Linked DNA regions of Anolis sagrei. The protein of the gene in region 1 purifies or fractionates together with the protein of each later gene. This does not show direct contact. Links are inferred from orthologs where the notes say so. Each region holds a gene or a part of one and is shown on either strand. Other genes may lie near its edges.

Region 1 (7,162 bases):
CTCAGGTAGAAGGGGGTAGGAAAAGCTTTAAAAGCCCTGTTCAAAAAGACTTACAAGCAGATTTCCATAAAACTAATTTGCCGCTATGTGTGTCTAGGGAGGGAGGCTTAAACCCACATCGTAATATCTTTAAATTGGACTAGCTTCCATTATGAAGGCAATGGCAAACCCACTCGGAATAGATCTTGCCAAGAAAACTCCATGGCAGGTTCATCTAAGGCAAACAACAACAACTGCATCCATTACCTTAAGTAGTCACTCAAAAATATTTTCTCTCAGAATTATGCTTCACTGGGACATGCACCTGCTTTTAGGATAAAACGATGGCCTTTGAAAGCTATCCACCTAGCCTGAATCTAGGATGTGCACCTAGTATTGCTGCACATTTTCCACAACTACTGAGATGGTTTCCTTAATTCACAATTTACAGGGATTGAAGAAACCACTGAATCAGGACGATGTAGTGGTTTACTTTGACTCTGGCTTGATTCCCTGCTTGCCCATGGAAAACCACGGGGCGGGTCACACTCTTTAGTTCCCCCAAAACACCCTGAGAAGGATCATGTTAAGCCAGAAATGACTTGAAGGCACACAATAACAACCAGGAGAAACCATCAGCAACAACACATGAAGTGTAATTCCGAGTGCTGCTAGGCAAGCATGGGCAAATTTGGGCCCTCCGGGTGTTTTGGACCTCAACTCTCACCATTCCTAACAGCCTCGGGCCTCTTCCTTTTCCCCCTCAGCTGCTTAAGTGGCTGAGGGGGAAAAAGAAAGGGCCTGAAGCTGTTAGGAATGGTGGGAGTTGAGGTCCAAAACACTTGGAGGGCCCAAAATTTGCCCATGCCTGGCTAGCCTATTATTTTTCCATCCACAAACTCCAGCAAGTTCAGTCATATTCTGAGATGAACTGTTTATTTCACACCCTCAGCCATGCCTGTGCAATTTGCTTCAAATGTTTTTCATCCTTCTGCAAAAAGTACAGAAGGGACCGCAAGAGGAAGCGCTGCTGACAGGAGCAAGAGATGGTTTTTTTTAAAAAGGAAGGACTGAAAATAAAATCTGACATGAAACTATCTAGGTGAAAGTAAACCTACAAAGGCATTGTGCCTTCGAATTGCCTGTGGACTTATGGCAATCCTATACATTCCAGAGGATTGCCTTAAGCATTGATGACCGGCCTGGAGTAATGAAGGACCTTGTCGCTCATATGCCTAAAGTCCTAAACGAATACTGTTAAAATATACCTCACAACCTCTGAGGATGCCTGCCATAGATGCAGACGAAACGTCCGAAGGAAATGCTTCTGGAACATGGCCATACAGCCTGGAAACTTCACAGCAACCCACTGTTAACACTTAGTTATATGCCTTAAGGAAGGAAAACAGCGGTGACTTTGGCTGTTCTTTCCTCTGAAATAGTGCCTCGCATCCCAGCACCAACCCAGGCTGACCCTGCTTAACTCCCAAGATCAGAAAGGATCTGGAGCCTTCGAGGTAATGATATGGGCATATGTTCGGGTAGGAGCCCCCAATGGCACAGCGGGTTAAACCTCTGAGCTGTCGAACTTGCTGAGTGAAAGGTTGGCAGTTCAAATCCAGGGAGTGGGGTGAGATCCCGCTGTTAGCACCAGCTTCTGCCAACCTATCAGTTTGGAAACCCAGCAACAGCAAGAGTATCCCTCTGGACAGCTGAACCAGGAAATTCCAACTGGATGGCCCCCCACGAGAGTCTTCCTCCAGGGGCAAACCAAGAATGGGCAATTTGGAAGTCCCTGAACAGACTCAGAAGTGGAGTGGGCAGATCAAAAGACAACCTGGCAAAATGGCAAGACCTAAAAGAATCTCACACCTTATGCAACTGCGGAGCAGACCAGACAACTCCACATCTGTATGCTTGTCCACTATGCCCTGCCTCATGTACAGAGGAAGAATTCTTGGAGGCTACAGACAATGCCACTGCTGTTGCCCGTTTTTGGTCAAAAGATATTTAGCCACCTGTGCTCCTTCTATTTTTATCGGTTTTATACTAACTTATGGGATGCTTTTGATACAAAATAAATAAATAATTTTGAAAACATGCATGGAGACCACTTCGGCGCTCCATGCAGTCATGCCGGCTGCATGACCTTGGAGGCGTCTACAGAAAACGCCGGATCTTTGGCTTAGAAATGGAGATGAGCACCATCCCCCAGAATCCAACACGACTAAACTTAATATCAAGGGAAACCTTTACCTTTACTAAGTTCGGGTCGTGTAGGGCTCTGAGTGTTGGAGGAAGACACAAAAAGGGAGAGTTGGGGGTGGTTTAAATGGGGTTTTCTTGCTGGGTTGTTGTAGGTTTTGTGGCTGTATGGCTATGTTCTAGAAACATTCTCTCCTGACGTTTCGCCTGCATCTATGGCAGGCATCCTCAGAGGTTGTGCGCTCCCGTTTCTTGGCAGGATGGAGTTGGACTGGATGGCCCCACGAGGTCTCTCCCAACTCTAGGATTTTAGGGTTGGCATCCTGGTGGAGCCATGCGCGAGGCACTCTCTCTCAGCCTCAGAGGAAAGCATCCCAAGGCATCCCCGCCTGCAGTCCCACGGGATCTCTCTCTCTCTCTCTCTCTCTCTCCCTCTCCCACGGGACTGTTCCTGGGGCGCCCAAGGAAGGCGAGAGCGGGAGGGCAGGCTGCGCTCCGCTCCTCGGGGATGTCAACTGTGGATCAGGCGCAGCCTCTGGGCCTGCCCTCCCTCCCTCCCTCCCTCCTCCCCTTCCACCCGGCCGGGATGTGGCGGGACGAAGCCGCGTTGGGGTGAAAGGAAAGCGGAAAGAAAGGGGCGGCTTACGTATCTGTGGATGAGTGCCCTGAGGCGGCTGCAGTCCATGGCGGCGGGGCGGCGGCGGCGGCGGGCAGCTCCTTCTCCGTCTCCCCGGTCTCCGTCTCCTTCTCCTCCTCGCCGCCGCCACTGGCTCCGCTCGGGGTCTCCCGGGCTGGCTTCCACGCAGGGCTCCTCCTGCCTCATGGCAGCCCCCGGAGGAGCGGAGGAGCCGGCCGAGGAGGAGGCGAGAGCAGCAGCAGCAGCAGCAGCAGCATCGCCCTCCCTCCCTCCCTCCCTCGCTCGCTCTCGCCTGCACCCCGAGCTGCCTCCGAGGAGTCCGCCGCCTCGCCTCGCTTCGCGCCCCGCCACTCAGTCCAGCGGGCGCCCCGCTCGCCTCCCCATGTGCGCCCCCAAGAGTAGCAAGGAAGCGGAGGAGCAGGGAGGGACCACGGGCGGGGAAGGGGAGCCGCTCTCCTCCGGGAAACTTCGCCCGCCGCCGCCGCCCGGGAAGAGGCGCTCCGCACGGCTCCTGCTCCTGCTGCTACTCTCCTCCTCCTCCTCCTCCTCCTCCCGCTCGGCCGCCTCGCCTCGCCTGTCCCTCGGGTTCGTCTCCCTTTGATCCTCCCCTGCTCAGCCACCCCGCTCACGTCACGCCGCTCCGGCGAGCATGCGCACTCCGCTTCCCCCAGTCACCACAACACACCCCCTTTGCTCTCTTCCTTCTTTCATTCCTTTCCTTACCTTCTCCCCCCCCCCCTTCCTGCTTCCTCCCTCCTTTTCCTCCCTTCCTATATCCCTTCCTTACTTTCCTTCTTCCCCTCTTTCCTCCTTCCCTCCTTCCTTCCTTTCCTGTTTCCTACCTCCTTTTCTTTTCTTCCTATATTCCTTCCTTTCCTTTTCCCTTTCTTCCCTTTTCCCCCTTTCCTTCCTTCTTTCCTGTTTCCTCCCTCCTTCCTTCCTATATGCCTTCCTTCTTTCCTGTTTCCTCCCTCCTTCCTATATGCCTTCTTTCCTATATATTCCTTCCTTTCCTTTTCCCCTCCTTCCTTCCTTCCCCTTTCTTTCCTTCTTTCCTCTATGCCTTCATTCCTTTCCTTCCCCTCATTTCTTCTTTCCTTTCTTTCTTTCTTTCCTCCCTCCCTCCCTCCTTTCTTTCCTGATTGCTCCCTCCCTTCCTTTCTGACCTTTTTATATTCCTTAATTCCTTTCCTTCATTCCCTCTTTTCTTCCATTTCCCCCCTTTCCTGGTTCCTCCTTCCTTCCTTTCCTGCTTCTACTCACACTTCTTTCCTATATTCCATCATTTCTTTCTTCCCCTTCTTCCTTCCTTTCCTTAATTTCTTCTTTCCTTTCCTTCTCCGCTTTTCCTGTTTCCCCCTCCCTTCCTTGCCTCTTTTCTTTCTTTCTTCCTTCCCTTCTTCCTCAGTCCCTCATTTTCCTTCTTCCTTCCTTTCCCGTTTCCTCCCTCCCTTTCCTTCATTCCTATATTCATTTCTTCCTTTCCTTCTCTCCCTCCTTCCTTCCTTTCCTGTTTCCTTCCTCCCATCTTTTCCTTTCTTCCTATATTCATTTCTTCCTTTCCTTCTCTTCTTCCTTCCTTCCTTTCCTGCTTCCTCTCTCCCTCATTTTCCTTCCTTCCTTCCTATATTTCTTCCTTTCCTTCTTCCCCTCCTTCCTTTCTTCCTTCCTTTCCTTCTCCCCCTTTCCTGTTTCCTCCCTCCTTTCCGTCTTCCCTCCTTCCTTCCCTCCCTCCTTTTCCTTCCTTCCTTCCTCCACCCCACTTCCTCCTCCTCCCCCTCCCCCTCCCCCTCATGAGCCCCTCCCGGGCAAGGCCTTGGGGGCGAAGTCGGGCCGAGCAGAAGGGGAAGGGCGCTTTGGCGGGAAGCGCGCCCTGGAAGGGAGACCTGACAAGAAGAGCCTTTTGTGTGTTGCGCTCTCTCTCTCTCTCTCTCTCTCTCTCTCTCTCTCTCTCTCTCTCAACCCCTGCATGCCGTTCGATGTTGCCATGGCAGCTGGAGTGTTACGATAGCGCTAGTGGAGAGTCGCGTGAGCAAGACGGGTCTGGAAAAATCGCCTGCCTAAAGCCTTGCCGCTGTTTTGCCCGCAGAGCTTCGAGGAGGCAGAACTCCGGAAGGCGAGGCTTCAGGGGAAGGGCAGGTGTGCCGCTCGGGGCCAAAGAAGGCGGCAGAGGGGCGGGCAGAGGCAGAGCAAAGCCCCCCTCGCCCGGGGCCCTTCCCTGGCAGCAGGTGCCTTGGCCCCTCCGCAGACTCAGAGCCACGGGCAAGGCTCCGCAGAGGGAGAGACTAGGGGTCCATCTAGACCAGGCGTGGGCAAACCTTCTAACTTGGGGGGCACATGCTAGCACTCCCTGCTTAAGAAGACTGGCTGCGCAGTGATGGAAGGAAGGGAAGAAGGAAAGAGAAATGGAAGGAAGGAGGAAAGGGAAGAAGGGAAGAATGGAAGGAGGAAGAGGGAGAGACAAAAGAAGGACAAAAGGGAAGGAAGGATGAAAGGGTGGAAGGAAAGGATGGAAGGAAAAAAGGAAGGAATGGAGGAAGAGAAGGATGGAAGGAGAAAGAGGGAGAGAAAGCAGGAGAGGGAAGAAGGAAGGAAAGAATAATAGAATCATCCAGTCCAACCCGCTACCAAGAAGCAGGAAAATTGCATTCAAACACCCCCAACAGATGGCCATCCAGAAGGACAAAAGGGAAGGAAAGAAAGGAGGGTGGAAGGGAAGGAGGGAGGAAGAGAAGGATGGAAGGAAGGAAAGAGCAAAGAGGGAAGGAAGGACAAAAGGCTGGAAGAGAATGGAGGGAGGAAGAAAGAGGGAAGAGAATGAGGAAAAAGAGAAGGAAGGACAAAAGGGAAGGAAGGAGAGGGAAGGAAGGAGGGAGGGAGGAAAGAGGGAAGGAAGGAAGGAAGGACAAAAGGGTGGAAGGGAAGGAAGGTGGGAGGAAGAAAAGAGGGAAGGAAGGAAAGAGGGAAGGAAGGACTCCAGGCCTGGATTTGTCCATACTTGATGTAGACTGAAGAATTAATGCAGTTTCACACAACTCAAACCACTATGGCACCAAGGGAGCTGCATTTTGCAAGGTCTTTAACCTTCTCTGCCCACAAGTACCGGTGCCTCACCAAGCCACAACTCCCATGGCTCCATAAGTCATGGCGGTTAAAGTGGTGTCAAACTGCATTCATTCAATGGACCTGAAGGTTGTTATCCTCACTACCTATTTTCCTGGAAGAAGTCATGCCTGTTGAACTCTGCTTGACAGATATAATAAATGATATATAAACCTCACTTGCCTAGTTTCCAGCAGGCCTCACAACCTAGGAAGATGCTTGCCATAGATGTGGGCGAAACGTCAGGAGAGAATGCTTTTGGAACATGGCCATAAAGCCTGGAAAACTCACAACAACACAGTGATTCCGGCCATGTAATGATGATGATGATGATGATGATAACAACGTTATTTATACCCCGCCACCATCTCCCGGAATGACTCGGGGTGGCTCACAAAGAACTCAAAGGTGCAAACACGCAATATACAAAAAGTTCAAAGGTAGCAAAACAAAGCAGCAACAACCAACATAAACATCACCCCCCCCCCGCCCCAATGAACGCCAATAAAATGCAACAATAGCTGCAGAATACAAAACGAACTGCCACAATCCCAAACTGGGTATAATTCTCAGATGAAAATAAGTTATTTACTAATTGCAAATATATACTGCTTGAAAATATCAGACAGAAAATACATTCACGATCACAGTACAGGTAGTCCCCAAGTTGCAAACAAGACAATTTCTGTAGGTTTGTTCTTAAATTGAATTTGCTTGTAAATTGGAACAGGTACCTTTTTTCAGTGTAACTCCAGTATATAGCTTTGGGTATCATAGGGAAGGGTTAACATCCTGTGGTATTTGTTTTGCTCACTGTGAAGATTTCACCTCACTTTCTGTCCTTGTGATAATTGGATTTTGACCAATTTGGCTTGTTGCGAAAATGAAGATTGGTGCTACAGCTTCAGTGGAGAGACCATTTCCCCATAATAACTCTTCTAGGAGTGAGCTTCCATTCCTAGTGGTAGATTTCTCTCACTTCCTGTTGTCTCACCCCCATTCTTAACTAGGAGTTGCTTGTAAGTCAGATGTTTGTAACTCAGTGACTGCCTGTATATGTTTCATGCTTCATACACATTGTTTTGAATTACACCATGCAACCTCTGTCATGAACTCAGCATGTTGGAGTAAAGATTTTTTAACTGGTCAGCCTTTACTGGAAGATAGAAATACTGATTTTTTTTCAGCCCACAAGGGCTTCAGCCTGGAGGGATCAACACACACAATCAAACTTCAAGT
Region 2 (7,557 bases), on another chromosome or scaffold:
GAGTCATGAGAGTTGTTGTTTTGCAAGGATTTTAGCCTCCTTGCCGAAAGAGTGTCGAAAAACCACAAATCCCTAAATTCCATAGGATTGGACTAAGGCAGCACTTTAACTGTCATGGTACAATTATATAGAATGAGAGCTGTAGTTTTACAAGGTCTTTAGTCTCTTCGGCCATATGCTGCTGCCGCTTTACTAATCTACAAATCCCAGAACATTACAGCATTGAGTTCAAGTGGTGTCAAACTGCATTCATTTTATAGTGTAGAGGCACCCTTTGTCCTTGTTCACTTGTTGCTTTTAGTCCTGGAAAGGGGGGGGGGAGGGGGAGAGAGATGGTGGAGGAGAGTAGCAACAATCTAGGTGCACTTACACTATTGAATTGACACAGTTTGACACCACTTTCACTGCCACACCTCAATGCTATGGAAGATGTACTTTCAAAGATCTTTGGCCTTCCCTGGCAAATAATCCTGTTGTTTCTCCAAACTACAACTCCCAGTATCCCATAGAATAGAGCTATGGCTGTCCAAGTGGTGTCAGTATAGGTGCACTCAAGGGTATATTTTTCATCTTCTCATCATTACTGAGATACACTTTAATGAGTAGGTATTGAGCAGAGATCCTCAAACTTGAAGAAAACATGAAATAATTCCTATACACACTGAACTATTTTATTTGTAGTGTAAAAAAAGGACAATAAAATATTTAAAACGAAGAAAAACTTTATTTTTATACCCCGCCTCCATCCCCCCGAAGGGACCCAGGGCGGCTTACATGGGGCCAAGCCCAAACACATATTGGCAGTATTTCAATGGAAAGTGTGGGCCTGCTTCTAGCTGATGAGATAGTCAAGTTAATTAAGATCATTGTTGTTGAGTGCCTTCCAGTTGTTTCAGATTTAGGGTCATGCTAAGGCTGGGAGCTGAGTAAATTACCTTGGAGGGTCACATCCAGCCGTGGACCTTAGTTTGGGGAGGTAGAGCGTGTGCACCCTACTTGAAATTTTGTTGCTGCCTTTTGCAGAATTCTGGGCTTTGTAGTTTAGTGAGGCCTTAGACCAGTGGTTCTCAACCTATGGGTCCCCAGATGTTGTGGCCTTCAACTCCCAGAAATCCCAACAGCTGGTAAATTGGCTTGGATTTCTGGGAGTTGTAGGCCAAAACACCTTGGGACCTATTGGTTGAGAACTACTGCTTTAGCCTATAAAGCCCTAAATGGTTTTGGTCCAGCTTACCTATTTATTTATTTACGACATTTATATGCCACCCTTCTCACCCCGAAGGGGACTCAGAGTGGCTTACAAGTCATATGTACATACAACATACTATATTATTAGTATAGTACTAATACATCATTCATAATATTATTATATAATATTATATTGTTGCTGGGGGAGGGGCTCTGATGTACATATCTCTCTCTATGAACCATCTCAGAGCTTAAGATCCTCTGGGGAGGTCCTGCTCTCGGTCCCTCCTCCCCCGTAGGTGCAGTTGTTGGGCATGAGAGACAGGGCCTTCTCAGTGGTAGCCCCTTGGTTGTGTAACTCCCTTCCTAGTAACATCATATTAGCCCCCTCTCTCCTTTAGGGGAAAAACTCTCTTTTCTTTTAAGGGGAAAACTGAAAACTTGGATATGGGACCAAGTGTTCAGATAATTTATGAGTGCAATAAGTGAAAGTGGAATGGTGCTCTGGTTGGGAATTTGGCTTAAGTAGCTCAGAAGAAAAAAGAAAGGACCTGAGGCTGAGAAGGTGGCTAACAGTAGCGATGATGTAGGGTTTTCTTACCCTTGGCCTTCCAGAGCTGTTGGACTTCATCGCATTTCTTTGTATGAACCCACACAATCTCTTTGATCATCTGGAGAGGCCCTGTTCGCACCCCTGCCTCCTTCGCAGGCGCGATTGGTGAGGACAAGGGAGAGGGCCTTCTCGGTGGTGGCCCTCCGAATCTGGAACTCACTTCCCAAGGACATCAGGCATGCCCTAACATTGGCAGTCTTTAGGAGGAGCCTGAAAACGTGGCTGTTCCAGTGTGCCTTCCCAGAATAAGGAAAATTCCCAGAAATATGTCCTCAGGGTGCACTTTAGGATTGACTGCGCTCCCTCATCTCTTTTAAAACCCTATACCAGATATATCCTACCTCGTTCATGCCCAGCGCTTATTTTTTTAATTTTTTAACTCTTACATTTGACCTGGCCACAGGTATTTAAATCCTTATGTGTTATTGTTTATATGTGATTTAGTATTTATTTGTCTTGTTTTTTACTCGTGTTCTATTTTGAAATGGTCATATGGCTGATCAAATAAATAAATAAATATTATTATTATTATTATATGTGATTTATATTAATTGTATTGTATTTATTGCTTTTGGTTTATTGATGTGTTGTTGGGCTTGGCCTCATGTAAGCCGCTCCAAGTCTCTTGGGGAGATGGTGGCGGGGTAGAAATAAGGTTCATTATTCTTATTATTATCTCCCAGAGTCCCTGGCCGTTGGCCAAGCCAGCCGGGGCTTCTGGGAGTTGAAGTCCAAACAAGGTGGCGGACCAAACGTCAGAGCCGAGCAAGGGGCGACGCGGGCAGGGAGCTGTTTACCTCATACTCGCGGATGTTGTTGGAGGTGACGAAGATGCCGATGCCGATGGGGATGAAGATGAGGCCGATGACGAAGAAGGCGGGCAGGACGGTGCCGGCCGTGAGGATGGGCTGCCAGGCCGGGAGGCGCTGCTGCTTGAAGGCCGTGTTGTCCGGCTTGCGGCTCTTGGCGGCGCCCACCGAGGACCGGGCCGCGCCGCCCAAGCCCCCGCCGCCGCCGCCGCTCCCCCCGGGCATGGAAGCCATCCCCGACGGGTGCCCGTCCGCTGCCGCCGCCGCCGCCTCCTCCTTCGCGTTGTAGTTCATAGCCATGGAGGCGGGGGAGGGGGAGGAGGGCCGCGCGAGAGGCGGAACAGGAAGCGCCGCCAGCAACGGCGACAACTGACACTGGCCACCCGCCGCGCGCGCCGCGCTGTATAAGGGCCGCGACTGCGCCTGCGCCAACAACGCCCAAACAGCAGCAACAGCAGCAGCCCTCCCCTCCTTCCGGGCTCCTCAACACCTCCCACATAGCCCTCGACGCCGTGCGCAGGCGCAGTACGCTGCCAGGACCCTGCGTCGTCTCCTTTTATTACTTAGCTCGCCGCTAGGATACGTTCCACTCCTCCTCGCTCACCCCGCCCTGCGGCGTTCGGAGGAGGATTCGCTCGGGGCCACTTGCGCGCATGCGCACTGGGAAGGAGGCGAGACCCGAGAGAAGCCTCCCACAAACATCAAAACATCCGGGTAACGTCCTTGCAGACGGACAATTCTCTCACACCAGAAGCGACTTACAGTTTCTCAAGTCGCTCCTCATATGAAAAAAATTGGAGATGAATTCGTATTTTAATTGAACACGGCTAAGATTTATTGATTATTGCAGTGGTTCTCAACCTGGGGTCCCCAGATGTTTTTGGCCTACAATTCCCAGAAATCCTAACAGCTGGTAAACTGGCTGGGATTTCTGAGAGTTGTAGGCCAAAAACATCTGGGGACCCAAGGTTGAGAACCACTGGATTATTGTTTTAAAATCTTATTTCTGCGCTGTTTTATGGTTTGGTATTTAGGCGTTATATGCGTTTTTCTTGGATTTGTACTGTTTTAAGATGTTGGAAGCCGCTTTGGGTCCCTTGGTGGAAGAAAAGCGGGATACAATAAAGATATTATTATTATTATTATTATTATTATTATTATTAGGGTTTTTTATTTATGTATATCCTGCTTTATCTCTCCATACAGAGACTCAAAGTGGCTCACCATCAAAAACATCACAACTTAAAATATACGCAGTGGGTTAAACCGCTCTGTTGCCTTAGACCTTAAATCTTAGCCCAGCCCTAAAATATATTTATTTATGTATTTATTTATTTATCATACTAGCCATCCCCAGCCACACGTTACTGTGGCCCAGTCTGGTGATCTGGAAAATAAAGTAATGCGAAAGTGTTCTCATTGTGGGTAATCAGTATTTCTTGCTGTTTCTTTGTCATTGTTGATGTGGAGAGGGTCTGGTTTGCCTACTCTGGAACATGCAACATATAATTGTCAATCTTTAGGGGTCCCTTTCAAATCTATGATACTATATCTCTGTGTGTGTGAATCATATCTATCAATATCTATGGCTGGATGGCTCTTTGTCAGGAGGGCTTTGATTACTTTTTCTTGCCCTGGTGAAGGGAGTTGGACTGGATGGACTTAAGTATTTTCTGTTGGACATGGGGGTTCTTATGTGGGAAGTTTCCCCCAAATCTGTCGTTGGTAGGGTTCAGAATGCTCTTTGATTGTAGGTGAAATATAAATCCCAGTAACTACAACTCCCGAATGTCAAGGTCTATTTCCCCCAAACTCCATCTGTGTTCATATTTGGGCATATGGAATATTCGTGCCAAGTTTGGTCCAGATCCATCACTGTTTGAGTCCACAGTGCTCTCTGGATGTAGGTGAACTACATCTCCAATACTCAAGGTCAATACCCACCAAACCCTTCTAGTGTTTTCTGTTGGTCATGGGAGTCTTGTGTGCCATGTTTGGTTCAACTCCATCGTTGGTGGAGTTCAGAGTGCTCTTTGATTGTGGATGAACTATAAATCCCAGCAACTACAACTCCCAAATGACAAAATCAATTTTTTTTGAGTGAAGGACATACATTGGGTTGTTAGATGTCTTGCGTCCAAATTTGGTGTCAATTCGTCCAGTGGTTTTTGAGTTCTGTGAATACCAAAAACGAACATTACATTTTTATTTATATAGATTTGTACCCTGCCCTTCTCAACCCCGAGGGGGACTCAGAGCAGCCTCACATATTGGCAACTATTCAATGCCTTAAAATAACATAACAATTGGTAAACGTCTGCATTAAATACCAGAGAGTTAAAATATCTAAAAACAATAACATCAATGGTTATTATTGTTAATTATTAATTATTAAAATATTAAACCCCTTCTTAAATAATCTGTATTTTTATATTTTAGGTATTTTTGTTTATATTATTGTTGCTTGTCTTTATTATTATTTATCTTGATTGTTGTCATTTATTTATCATTTATATCCCACTTTTTCTCTCTTAAAAGAGATTAACAATGATAAAAAATATCATTAAAATGTACAATCTAAAACCGAAAAGACATAATGGTAAACATTAAAATAGAATTAAACGTAAGAGTATTAAGAATCAATAGATGGAATAGTACCATAAAGATTTAAAACAATTAAAATAATTAAAAATCTGTTTAAATATGTAAGCACCCTTTCAAAGCCTTCAATCTTCTTTCAAAGATTGGTGCAATGCTAGTCGCAACTATTTTGCATGTGTCATAATGTAGCCATTATAAGTGGAAACCACCTTGTGGTTCACAGGTTCATAGAACTACAGAGTTGCAAGACAGCACATGGGCCACCCATCCAACTTCATTCAACCACGCAGGAATACACAATCATTCCCAACAGATGACCACCCAGGCTCTGCTTAACAACCTCCTGAGAAAGACTCCACCAAGCTCCAAGGCAGCATATTCTACTGCCAAACAGCTCTTACCAACAGGAAGTTCTTCCTAATGTTTAAGTGGAGTCACTTTTTCTGCAATTTGAATCCACTGCTCTGTGTCCTGATCTCCAGAGCATCAGAAAACAAGACTGTCCTTCCTCAATATTTAGACATGGCTATCATGTCCCCTCTCAGCCTTGCTTTTCTTCAAGCTAAACATACCCAACTCCCTCAGCCGTTGCTCATAGGGCTTGGTTTCCAAGCCTTTGATCATTTCTGTTGGATGGGAAGATGCTGGTTTCTCTGAACCATAATTAGGCAGGTATTCGATTCACTGTGACATTATGCAAGCCCTTGAGGGCAAAATGCTTCTCTTGGCAGTGGAAAGAGGCCCGCATGTGCACCCTTTCCAAAGCGGTACTTGCATGCCCCTCAGGGCTCATCAGCCTCGAAGCACAAATCTATAAGAAGGAATATCATCCACTGTGGCTGTTGCCCGTGGGCTGAGATGGGACAAACAACTCCAAAAGCTGAAGATCCTGTCTTTATCATGCAGGTCAGAAAATGCAAGGGAAAGACATCCAAAAAAAAGGAGCATGCGTTGCTATGGCTTGTGACTGCAATCCGTGCCTAATATCCTGTGGCAGCTACCAACTAGAAATGTATTTCTTTAAGTTTGTGGTTCCCATAAAGGAGAAAAGGACTTTAAGTATGTATATAAACCCATTTTTTCTAGTTCCAACAGACCTCACTACCTCTGAGGATGCTTGCCATAGATGCAGGCGAAATGTCAGGAGAGAATGCCTCTAGACCATGGCCACAAAGCCCGAAAAAACCTACAACACCCCAGTGATTCCGGCCATGAAAGCCTTCAACAATACTTTTGACAAGACTTTAAGTATGTTTCTCCTCAGTGTAAGAATCTCTGAAAATTGGTCAGTTTTTCCTATGCTGCCTCACAGCCATGTAGTGACTGGTAGGAGGGGTAGCTGAGAGATCACCCATCAGTAGCTACTATAGTTGTAGACAGCTCTTGCTTGGGTATCATGTCCTGCTGCTTATTTATTTATTTATTTACTACATTTATATGCCACCCTTCTCACCCCGAAGGGGACTCAGGACTCAGAGAGGCTTACAAGATATAATTGTTTCAGATGTGTGCACTATTTTCTTTGGACTTCATTCTAGTTTTGATGTAATACAATTAAGACACAAGGAGTCATTCAATAGGTGTTGCTATGGTCGGGCAGCTAGGCCGTTGAAGTACTCTCAGCTCGAGTACATGCTATGGCCGTGTAGCTGTTGTAGCTGGAGGCCATATACAGGCAAATATTTCTTTAGGGCGGCATTTGAATTTTGCTGATCGAAGTTCTTCTTGATTTTATATGTAATGTATCACATGTGTATATTGTAAACCTCTCCGAGCCTAAATAAATAAATAAATATGCTCTGAGGATGCCAGCCATAGCTGCAAGCAAAACACCAGTAGAGAGTGTCTAGACCAGTGGTTCCCAACCCCTTTTTTTACCATGTTACACCTAAGCATCTCTAAAATCCTGATCACCACCCCCCCCCCCCCCCCGGTGACACATAATTCTTATTATGTAAAAAGCGAACCCCTGTGACCTTGGAGGAAGCCTGAAAGGCCATTAACTTGCTCTAAACAAGCTTCCAAAGAACATGGCATCCATGAAAGAGAAAAATAGAAGAACAAATTGAATTGAGAATTCAGGGAAACTTTTAAGTGTCCAATTTCATTGCATGTATTTGGTGAGAAAATACAAGAATATGCTCTCACTAGATGTTAATTTTCTTGCGCCTGAATTTTTTTTTAAATTATACAAAAATACTGACTTACCTATGAAAGTAATAATTGTGCTTTTCTGTGCTCTTCTGCTGTCTAGTTAACTCCATGCTCTCAACACTCTATGAGTGGACTCTCCCCTTCTCCATTGTCACCAGCTGATTGCCATGTAAATTCTGATTTTAATTTTTA

Evidence for each region. Proteins that work in one complex are often made in the same cells at the same time.
Region 2: the proteins of ATP11A (region 1) and TMEM30A purify together in Homo sapiens (co-immunoprecipitation; 4 studies listed by BioGRID and IntAct, with this or other methods). This does not show direct contact. The link is inferred for Anolis sagrei from reciprocal best matches to the Homo sapiens genes ATP11A and TMEM30A.

Annotation. Positions count from the first base shown.
Region 1 is NC_090023.1:108,981,823-108,988,984, forward strand, and holds the start of ATP11A (phospholipid-transporting ATPase IH), read right to left. Parts: upstream 3,088-7,162; 5' UTR 3,008-3,087; coding exon 2,831-3,007; intron 1-2,830. UniProt on the Homo sapiens protein: Catalytic component of a P4-ATPase flippase complex which catalyzes the hydrolysis of ATP coupled to the transport of aminophospholipids, phosphatidylserines (PS) and phosphatidylethanolamines (PE), from the outer to the inner leaflet of the plasma membrane.
Region 2 is NC_090021.1:110,955,874-110,963,430, reverse strand, and holds the start of TMEM30A (cell cycle control protein 50A), read right to left. Parts: upstream 3,065-7,557; 5' UTR 2,911-3,064; coding exon 2,599-2,910; intron 1-2,598. UniProt on the Homo sapiens protein: Accessory component of a P4-ATPase flippase complex which catalyzes the hydrolysis of ATP coupled to the transport of aminophospholipids from the outer to the inner leaflet of various membranes and ensures the maintenance of asymmetric distribution of phospholipids.